2 linked regions of the Caenorhabditis elegans genome follow. The protein of the gene in region 1 interacts with the protein of each later gene in a pairwise test. Each region holds a gene or a part of one and is shown on either strand. Other genes may lie near its edges.

Region 1 (5,718 bases):
GGACAATTTCAGAAAAAATCAAAAAAAAATTCAGAATGTTTGCCTACCCCTAGAGATCTAAATACATAATTTTCAGGCTCATTCGACACTCGGGTCCCACAATATGTCACCACTATCGCACTCAAAGTCCAGTGGATTAACGAAGAGTTTTTCGAATTTTGCGCTCAACTCATCTAAACAGCGTGATGATATCACCGCCAATATGAGCCGATCGATTCGTGAACAAAACCGTCACATAACAATGTGTAGAGCTATGGTTGTTTGTCTGAAGGATACGGTAGACCGAATGGCACGTGGAGAGAATCCTGATGTTGCTCGTCTGCTCGGTGTCAAGTTGAATGTGATGTCTGAAAGTGAAATGGAAGATGATGAAGATCATGAGGCTGATGCATCACAACCGTTTTCAATGATGTCTGCTGAATCAGCGGTATGTTAGCACTCAGAATGCTAATAAAGTTATTGTTTTTTTTTCAGCTCTCGAAGCAATGCGGAAAACTCGCTGATCTCGATAAAGACCTAGATACAATTCGCTGTCAACTCGCAGATTGGCATGGTCAAACAAATGCAGAAGGAGATGGTGATCGTGATGTATGCAGAGTTCAATAGAACATTATCTATATCTGAACATCTTGTATTTTAATCATGTTTTGCTCGTAATCAATTGTACCATAGTTCTCAACACATTTCAATGTTCTTTTTTAAATTTTATTTGACTTCTTCTTGATCCCAACTCCATGAATTAATGACCGTGTAAGTACCCAATCTACTCTCAGTCGTGTAATTAATACTGTCAAATGCGTTTACTGTATGACGAACGTGATATTATCAAGATACTCGTAGTGAATTCACATTTCTGTGCATTTCATGGCCAGGATTTGATGCGTCATGATTTTTCTTCCAGAACCGCATTCATCGAAACTTTCGAACCCATTTCCCATTACGCGGTATCTCGTCCCCATTCATCCATCAAATGTTCCCCCGGACGTTGTTGTTTTACTAATAAAGCTCGTCCCACAAGACTTCATTTTCCATGTCATCTTCAATATTCTATCATTTCTATCCACTTCCATATCATTATTGATGAATGTACTGGCATTTGTGCCTGGAATTGAAATGAATATGACTGCAATTTTTAAATGAGAATTGAAAACTATCTTTTAAAAACTACTCTGAAACTATCGAATACGGGGAAATGCGAGTGAATGTTTAATTTATTCAAAATTCAAATTCCGACAGAGAACTAGATTAAAAAACAGTTTTTTGAAAAACTAAAATGCATTATATTGAATAATGAAGATTTTTAGAAACTAAGAAGTGAAGTTTATTCCTGTTTCATTATGGTTTTCAGTGTTGAAATTTGTAATTTTGAGTTGCGACACTATTTTTCAAGTTTTAACTGGTGACCGGTACGAAATTATCATAATTTCATTACGAAAATATTGTTTTAAATACAGAAATATTACTTAGTTAATCGTAGAAACTCAGAACACATTAATTCTTTGTTTAATTAAATTTATTGTTCTCCCCACCGTAAAAATAATGTGATGAAAACTGCGCGGTGGTTGCAAGAACCGCGTGCGAGGGTTGCAAAGGGGCGGAGCTATGTTTCAACAACGCTTGCCGCTCTCATTGCTTTTATTTCTGCTTTTTCATGCTTTTTTAAAGAATAATCACTTTTGTTTTTATTTCTTGATTTATTCTTTGTTTTTTTTTCAATATGATACAAATTTCAGATGGCAAAACGCCCAAGTACATCGAAAAACCCAGCGGAGGTGAGAAAAATTCGATAATTCACACGCCAATAAACTTTACAAAAGCTTTCAGGACGATGAACTTATCATTGATGAATGTAGAAGAAAACTAGATGACGACGAGAGTAACGATGTTGGAGCTTACTTTGAAGACGATAATCAGCAAGGGGTACGTCGAAAAATGTATGAAACTTGTTTAAAATTTGAATTTCAGACTTCATATCGAACGCCATTCATGCCTTCTCATTTGGGACTCATACAAGACCAATCCCCAGATCTTACAATGAAAGATTTGTTCAATAGGAAAAGATCGCGGCCTCAATCAACGGGATTTATCGATCACAGTCAGGCGCGATATTATGACCGGTACAAGCAACAAGAGTATACTCGTCGCAACGATTTTATGAAGTATTGTCATGTATGCCGTAAGAAAACAGTAGGAAAACTTCGTGTTCTACCCGGCGATCTTCGTATGCGAAAAGTATGGATTCTCCGGTCAAACCTGGACGAAGAACGATCTGCAGAGTTGTGGTTAAGAGAAATGGCTTGTGAAGGATCTCACGGAGGAGAATTCTGCGAAGCTCATTTCCCAGCAGGCTCACAGCATATGAAAGGAAATCAGCTCATACCCCTTGACGTTAGACCTGAAGTATGTTTTATTGCTGCTTTTTACATGTATTTAAATTCTTTCAGGAAGGAAGACATTCTGTTGTGGAAGATATTCAATTCGATTTCGATGCCATACACCTTCAGTGCGTTTTTTGTGGTAGAGACGGCCCTCTTGCAACCATGCTTCCTTTCATTAGAGTGAGACATGGTCACAGAAACAATTAATTTTCAAAAAGATTATTTCAGAATCGTGCCAAAAGACTGCGATGGATTGAACAGCTAGCTTCTGGAAATGAAACTTATAAGAACCGTCTACTCCATGCATTACGAGGCGGAGTCACCCAATTCCTATGCGATTATCACATTTCTGATAGCAGTTTCGAGATAAATGGATTTGGAGAGTGGCGTCTTCTCAAAAATGCGTTACCTGATCCAAGACTCGTGGCTTCGGACAAGCGAGGCGAACGAAAGTATCTGGTGGACAAGTGTCGGGATGAGATGTTCTGGGAAAGAGCTATGTGGAAAAGTGCGGACTTGTTGAGTCAAAATGGTACTGCAGATGATGAAGATATTATTGTTGGAGATGACATTCGACAGTTTCTGACGAATAGTGTTCCATCTGAAGCTGAACAAGTTTGTGAGTTATTGTTTCATTTCTAATTTGAAATATTTTAAATTTTCCTTTTTAGTGCATCCTATCCTGCAAATAAAGCAAAACGTTGAGAAGAAACTGAATGAAGCTGATTTGCAACCAGGAACGTCTGGAACATCAGGAGAATCGAATGCGACTGCTGATAATTTGAAAATTGGAATTTCCGAGGAAGGTGTTGAATATTCAGATGATTCAGACGAAGAAAATGAATTGATCGAGAAGATGGGAGACATTCCATATTCGAAACGTCTCTGTCAGGTGTGCAGCGCTGTTGAGCCCATCGGAAACGAGTTTCCCAACAATTTCCCATACAAGTTCTCGATTCGAACATGGCCGTTTGATGAGTGTCGACACAAGAAATGGCTCGAGATTATGGATTGGCCGCCGGAGTTTGAAGAATCAATGAAAACTTTGTGGCAGAAACGAAAAACTGAAGGAGCCCTGTCGGATTCTTACCATTTCTGCCCGATTAATGTGTGTCAGTCCCATCTTGATTTCAGAGTGAGTTAATTTCAAAACAAAATTTGCGTTTAACAATTCTTTTTAGCAACTTCCTGAACGTATGGAAGAGTGGCATCAGACATTTTGTTTGCTTTGTGATACTTGCATGAGCGATAAAAGTTTTCTTGTCGGAATCCCACATAATTTTGAAACTCGAACAAAATGGGCGAATAGCCTATTTCCAGTTAAGGAAGGAAACAAGTTTCAGCTCAAGAAGATTTCCTGGGTAAGTGAACAGCTAGGTTATCAGGGAAACAAACTACTCGTTTTCAGCTTCGTCGTCGATTCCTTCGTTCGAAACCAACCCGTTACCGTATCTGTGTGTATCATTTCAACAGAAAAGCTTTTCAAGTTAATCAGGATGATAAAATTGTTCTCGATGCGGAGGCTCTTCCTCTTCCAATAGATTCGGATGACTTTGATTTGACACCACGAGGTCCGAATTCGGTATGCAAATGCGTTTTATGTGACGACTGGAAGAAGGTGGAAGATATGGTGCCTTTCCGAGCCCCACACTCTGAAGCTGAAAGATCATTCCTTATCGATATTGTCATTCATTCGGATAAAATGACCATTAAAAAAGCGCTCGCTTCACTCGCCAAAACAAATCGTCCAGCTCTCATTTGCAATATACATTTTCCCGATGGAATTGACCCATTCAGTATTATTGCGGAACGGCGACTTATGTATGGAGTTCAGTCCGAATGTGTCTTGTGTGCTCATGCGAATGATTGCACTGCAATGATTCCATTCCCGGGACCCGATGACGAGAAACTCCGAACAAAATGGATAAACTCAATGTGCCGCGAACCATGGATCTATCGTTATCTGTCTACTCGTCTTGAGAAACCAGGAAGACACTATCTTTGTGCATCTCATTTCAACCGAAACTCACTTCGATATCACGCTGGACTTGGACTCTGGCGAAGAGCTGCAGCATGTCCTGTTCTTGCCTGTACAACTGATGAAGAACGACAAGAAGTATGGGATCTAAGCAAGTCTCAACCACTTTATCATCCATTGATTCTCGAAACATTCGATGATAACGGATCCGGCAGACTTGACTACGATGATGTCCTGAACTTTTTGGGAACTGAAAGAATGCGCCAGGTGTGTTTTTGAAATCGAAGTTTTGTACATAAAATGTATTATTCTAGATCGAAACCGAGTTGAACTTCCACGGACGAAACGATTCATTGCTTCGCAGAGAAAATCGGAAAAAGAATACTGGACGCAGCTTCTATGCCGATATGCCTAATATTTACGAGCACGGAGAGCTTCAAGAAGTTGAAGACCAAATGGAGGGAGAAGAAGAAGAAGTAGTACAAGAAGAATGTATTATCTATGAAGAAGAACATCATTTAGATGAAGCTGAAGAGCTTGAGGTTATCGAGGAAGAGGAAGTCGTCGAAGAAATTGTTGAACAAGTTGTGGACGACGGGGTTGTCGTAGGTGAAGAGATGTAGACTTTGATTTCATTTTCCCTCATTTTTTAATTCAAATGTTTTCATTTTGAACTATTCTCGAATTTCCAACACTGCATTACGCGTGATCAAACTTTCAAAAGCCGGTAAAAGTTAGTACTTTTCAAATTGTACACATTGAGATCCATTTTGTTTTATTCCCTTTCGTTTCTCTGTTTCTCTATTTCACCAATCGAATATACAATATCTGCCTAATAAATTCGTTGCGTTGTTTCTGAATTGTTCATTATGTTTTCCATATATCTATATTGATAAACGGTCGTGTATCAATTACACCCGAATTTTTACTTATTGTTTAATAATGTTTATATTCATACAACAGAAACGAGAAGAATTTTAAAAGCTCCACTTTCAGAGAATGGCGTTCACATTCGCCGCATTTTGTTATCTCCTGGCGTTAATTGCTGTCGGATTCTGCATCTTCTTCGCGATATACACTGTAAGTTTTATTCGTCAATCAATTTGTGAACGAAATTCATTAAGAGACCTCTCAAAATTTCGGAAAAAAAAGAGCTGAGTGAGCTTAGCTAAAATCTCAAATTGTACCGTTTTTCCGTGTCACATCTGTTGGAAATTAACTTTCATTTATCATCCTTTTTCAAGTTTTTTTTTTCGTTATATAACCCAAAAGGGTGTCATGGAAAAACTAAAATTTTAAGATTTTCCTAAAAAATAGAAAAAATGTTTCAAAAAAATAACAATAAAATTCATTTTCTAAAAC
Region 2 (4,796 bases), on another chromosome or scaffold:
ACTCAACGTTCATTGAATTTCAAAAGATAAATTTTGTTGAATAGTGAGTGAAAAATATTTTTCTACATTTTACCAGTTTTAAGTTTTCGGATATTTTCATGTTCCGCCAAGTTACAGACCGTTTTTCAAAAAAATCCAATTTCGCTTATAAAAATCTTCATATTCAATGTATCGACTTGAAATTTTGAAAAATAATCATTTTTTTTGATGTCTCTACAATGTCCTAAAAATCTTTCAAAAAACACTGTCCATCTCCAAAATCGTCCTTCCCTCCAAAATAAAAAAGTGGACCTTTGCCTTCCGAAAAATGGGCGAAAAACTGAAATTGCGATTTTTGGGTCGAAAAAAATATTTTTAGAAAGCTGAGAACACGCTATTTACGAATTTCATGTTCATTTTAAGTGATTTCTTCTCTTGAACGACCTAAAAATTAAACAAAATTAACATAATTTTTATTTTCACGTGAAATTTTTTAAAATTTGCATTAAAACAATTGAAACACTGAGCAAATTACCAAAAAATTTCACGTGAAAATAAAAATTATGTTAATTTTGTTTAATTTTTAGGTCGTTTAAGAGAAGAAATCACTCAAAATGAACATGAAATTTGTAAATAGCGTGTTCTCAGCTTTCTAAAAATATTTTTTTCGACCCAAAAATCGCAATTTCAGTTTTTCGCCCATTTTTCGGAAGGCAAAGGTCCACTTTCTTATTTTGGAGGGAAGGACGATTTTGGAGATGGACAGTGTTTTTTGAAAGATTTTTTAGGACATTGTAGAGACAGCAAAAAAATGCATATTGTTCAAAATTTCAAGTCGATACGTTGAATATGAAGATTTTTATAAGCGAAATTGGATTTTTTTGAAAAACGGTCTGTAACTTGGCGGAACATGAAAATATCCGAAAACTTAAAACTGGTAAAATGTAGAAAAATATTTTTCACTCACTATTCAACAAAATTTATCTTTTGAAATTCAATGAAAGTTGAGTTATAAAGGGTACAACAAAAGAGTTCTAAAAATTTTTTGTGAATTTTGGAAAAATAGCTTTGACTCCGTGTAACTCTACAAAAAGTTGGTGTATTAAAATAAAAACTATTGAATTAGAAAGAAAAAATATTTCTGTTCATTTTGTTAGTTGGACATTTGTTTTCCAGATGTGTATTTTTTGAGATACGCCAGTTTGAACAATGAGCAAAGGGTAGGCAATGAGAAAAGGTAGTCAACGAGCAACAAGTAGGCAATCAAAACAGGAAGGCAATGAGCACAGGTATTCAATGAGAAAGAGGTAGGCAAAGAGCAAGGGTAGGCAATGAGCAAGGGTAGGCAATGAGAACAGGTAGTCAATGATTTTGGAGTCAATGAGTATTTGCCTACACTACTTCCTAGTCTACGATTGGGTCACGGAAAGTACATGGTTAAAATTAAAAAAAAAAGTTTTTAATGCTCATTTGGATAACAAATTATTACCACCAAACTTTAAAGACGGTAGTTTAATAATTACTACGCCTTATAAAATTTTTTTTTTCAGACCAACTCCAAATAATCTATTAGTCATAAATAAATGCTCAAAAAACTCATGAGAGCAGAAGTAAAGTGGATGTTCCCCGGAAGTCGTTGGCGACGAAAAACGCGTGTCTCTCTTTTTCCATCTTCTGAATTGCCCAACAACGACGGATTCTCGTTTTTCTTTGGAAGCGTTGCCATAGATACTCTCTCTTTCTCCTTTTTTGACTACAACCAGCATGCTCATACACACTTACACACTCCTCCCATTTTCATATCAAGTCGTCTTCAAGAAAATGTAGAAAAAGAAGAAGAGAGGAAGCGACTCTTGATTCTTTTATAAGTGTCAAGAAGAAAAAGAAGGCGATGGTAAATGAGTATGCCGAAATTATGGTTTTCTGGTGAAAGTGATAATTATAAGTTAGAAGATGAAGAAAAAGGTTTGTTAAAGCTTTATTTTATTTTTGAACTTTGTTCCTATCCAATTTCTACGTTTCAGCGTCAGCAACGTATTCTTCTCTGCGTACTGGTATCCTAAGCCTCACACCTGGTGACCAAAAATGTCGGTTATACTGTAGTGGTCCCCGGTGTAGATTCTGTATCGTAGTAACTGGTCAAACTGAAATTCAAGCAATAGATGGTTTATATTCAACATGGATAACATCTGATATTCTTGCAATGGCACGACTTCAAGTTGAACACTTTGACAGTTTGGGAATTGTGGAGAAATTCAAAACGTAAGTTCTATCTCAATTTGGTTGATAGCGGACTGATGATTGGAAACGATCATATTCTGTTATTCATAAACATTGTTCCTATTCTTTAGAAATGGAATACAATCAGTCATAAATCTTCAAGAAAGCGGAGAGCATTCATTCTGTGGAAGCGGTAATCTGACAAGTGGATTTAGTTATGATCCAGAGAATTTGATGAGAAATGGAAGTGAGTTAACTTTATATTAAAGAATTGATAAACGCTCGATTGCAAGTAGGCACGTTCAGGCCCACGTGTCTGTCCAAAAAGATGTAGATCGCCTTACAGGCTGGAATGTATTTTTCGTCTATGCAAAAAAAACCTGACTAGATCACATTTGGATTTCTGTTTTTTGTGACTACCAATGTATTTGGGATTAAATGTTTATTGAACGAGTAGGGTCCAACGAGAAAATATTTCCAACATTTAAATAATAATTTTTCTTCTAAACATGAGTTGAAAATATTTTGTCGACATTTTCCCAATGTTGTCTATTTGGCAGAATATTTTATAAAGAAACTACAGAAACATGACCATGAAAAACTTCAATGTGCAACAGCTTCTTACTTGTCTAATGAATGAACTACGCTTTAAATTATTTCCATTTTTCTTCAGTTTATCACTACAATTTCCCACTCCCCGACTTCCAAGCATGCACACCAAATCGTCTATTGGATATTGTCAAAGTGGTCGATTTTGCATTATCCCATGGAAAAATAGCAGTTCATTGTCATGCGGGTCACGGAAGAACTGGAATGGTGATTGCTGCATGGATGATGTATGCTTTGGGAATGTCTCCGAGTCAAGCAGTTGATACAGTCAGAAGTAGACGTGCAAAAGCTGTTCAAAGTAAGGAACAGGTGAAAACATTGCATGAGTTCAGAGTAAGTTCGTAATCATATACAATCACAAAAGTTCTATATTGCAGCTTCTAATAAGGAACAATGGAGGGATGATTATTCCTAAAAATAAAATGACACATATTTCGGAATATGTGGCATACAATCAAAAGTTTATAAGTAAACCAGAATCTAGATTATACGGTAAAATTCCTAAAGTAAGTATTTAAATTTTCTAAATAAATAAATAACATATTTTCAGATAGTTTACATTGCAATGCGAATAACACTTCAAAAAATGTATTCATCAGTGAATTTCGAAGTAGAAAACGATTACCGTATGAAAATTAAATGCGAAGGGCCATTACCTGAAAATAAATCATTCGATGAACAATTATTAAATGCTCAATTAAATGATGATGATCATGAAAAAACTCATTTTTGGTATATGGATCAAGTGAAGAATGGGCTCTCAATATCTACAATTAGTCGTCAATTAGAGGTTAGTTGGTGAGAGAGATTCAGGAAAATGTTAATCTGATTAAAATTTAGAATGAAGATTTTCGAGATATTATACGTCTTCTTGATTTGTTCTTTCATTCGACATTTCATCAATTGACGCATAAAGAGGAAATATTTGCAGTTTTACAGAATTGGGATCAAACTGAAAAGGTTAGAAATTTTGGAATTGTTGAGCAGATGTACCCGAAAAAATGATTATTTGATAATATACATTCAATGTGAAGAATTGTTAGTGTAGATTTTGTATAAACAAAAAAATAAAATTCGAGTTTAGTGACTTGCATGAAGATATAATTGACAGTTTAGTGAAAATAACGAAATACGTATTCCACTTATCGCGAACTTGAAACAGTAGATTTTAGAACGCAGTTTTTCAAAATAACATGATTTCAAATTATCAGTTTTGCTCTATTACTCCAAATTCCATTTTTTCAGGATTGGTCTCCAACGTTTTGGTTTTTATTAAAATGTATCCGTGAAATGCCTATTCCTCTTCATTTGGCACTATCACGTCTTATTTCCAAATGGTTCCTACGTTCTGAAGTGGAAATCGCGTCACGCATCAAACACATTTTATCATCACCGGTTACTTCAAACGAGTAAATTCAATAAAAGTTTTTTTCGAGAAATAAAAAAAAATGAAATCATTAAAAAAAAAAAAATGAAATCACTTTGGCGGGAAGTCTTTGCATCATAAAGAAACAAAGAAACGGGGAAGGCAAGTAGAAATAGAGGGGAAACGATTTGGATGAATACTGTTTACATGCGATAAATCGTTGGGAATACGGAGAGAATGAGAAGTACAAGTTGAACTGAACATGGAAAAGTTGCACTTTAATTGAGACAGAAAGCAGAAACAGTGATGGTTCACAACCGAAAATGACTGGTATTCAGGAAAAAGAAGAAGAATGACATGAAATGGAACAAAAATCATGACCGGAATGCGTTGGCAGAAGGAATTGGAGCTCGGCGATTTGATGGCTCCAGAAGACGTTCAGTCATGTCTTTCTGAAAAAAAAACAAGTGCTTTTATTTGAAAAAAAAATCACAGATTAATTTTTTTTTGAAGAACATCAAGTTATTTTCCTCAAAATTGAGGACAAACTTCTTTTATTTTTTAAACATTTTTTGTTGGGTCCTTCTTTTTTTTTTGAGAAATCAAAAAAAAATCTTCGCTC

Evidence for each region.
Region 2: the proteins of him-17 (region 1) and ptp-8 interact in a two-hybrid assay, tested with the Caenorhabditis elegans proteins (one large-scale study listed by BioGRID).

What each region holds. Positions count from the first base shown.
Region 1 is NC_003283.11:13,174,978-13,180,695, forward strand, and holds him-17 (High Incidence of Males (increased X chromosome loss)), read left to right. Parts: upstream 1-1,733; coding exon 1,734-1,772; intron 1,773-1,824; coding exon 1,825-1,920; intron 1,921-1,965; coding exon 1,966-2,400; intron 2,401-2,444; coding exon 2,445-2,558; intron 2,559-2,606; coding exon 2,607-2,997; intron 2,998-3,049; coding exon 3,050-3,513; intron 3,514-3,559; coding exon 3,560-3,739; intron 3,740-3,786; coding exon 3,787-4,623; intron 4,624-4,670; coding exon 4,671-4,979; 3' UTR 4,980-5,208; downstream 5,209-5,718. Other genes in the region: noca-1 (Non-centrosomal microtubule array protein 1), read left to right, coding at 77-427, 475-606; cni-1 (Protein cornichon homolog 1), read left to right, coding at 5,356-5,436.
Region 2 is NC_003282.8:7,380,532-7,385,327, forward strand, and holds ptp-8 (TYR_PHOSPHATASE_2 domain-containing protein), read left to right. Parts: upstream 1-1,522; 5' UTR 1,523-1,883; coding exon 1,884-1,944; intron 1,945-2,003; coding exon 2,004-2,241; intron 2,242-2,330; coding exon 2,331-2,446; intron 2,447-2,872; coding exon 2,873-3,141; intron 3,142-3,185; coding exon 3,186-3,314; intron 3,315-3,358; coding exon 3,359-3,598; intron 3,599-3,648; coding exon 3,649-3,768; intron 3,769-3,902; exon of another isoform or gene 3,903-3,923; intron 3,924-4,053; coding exon 4,054-4,221; 3' UTR 4,222-4,265; downstream 4,266-4,796. Other genes in the region: mob-3 (MOB kinase activator-like 3), read right to left, coding at 4,549-4,626.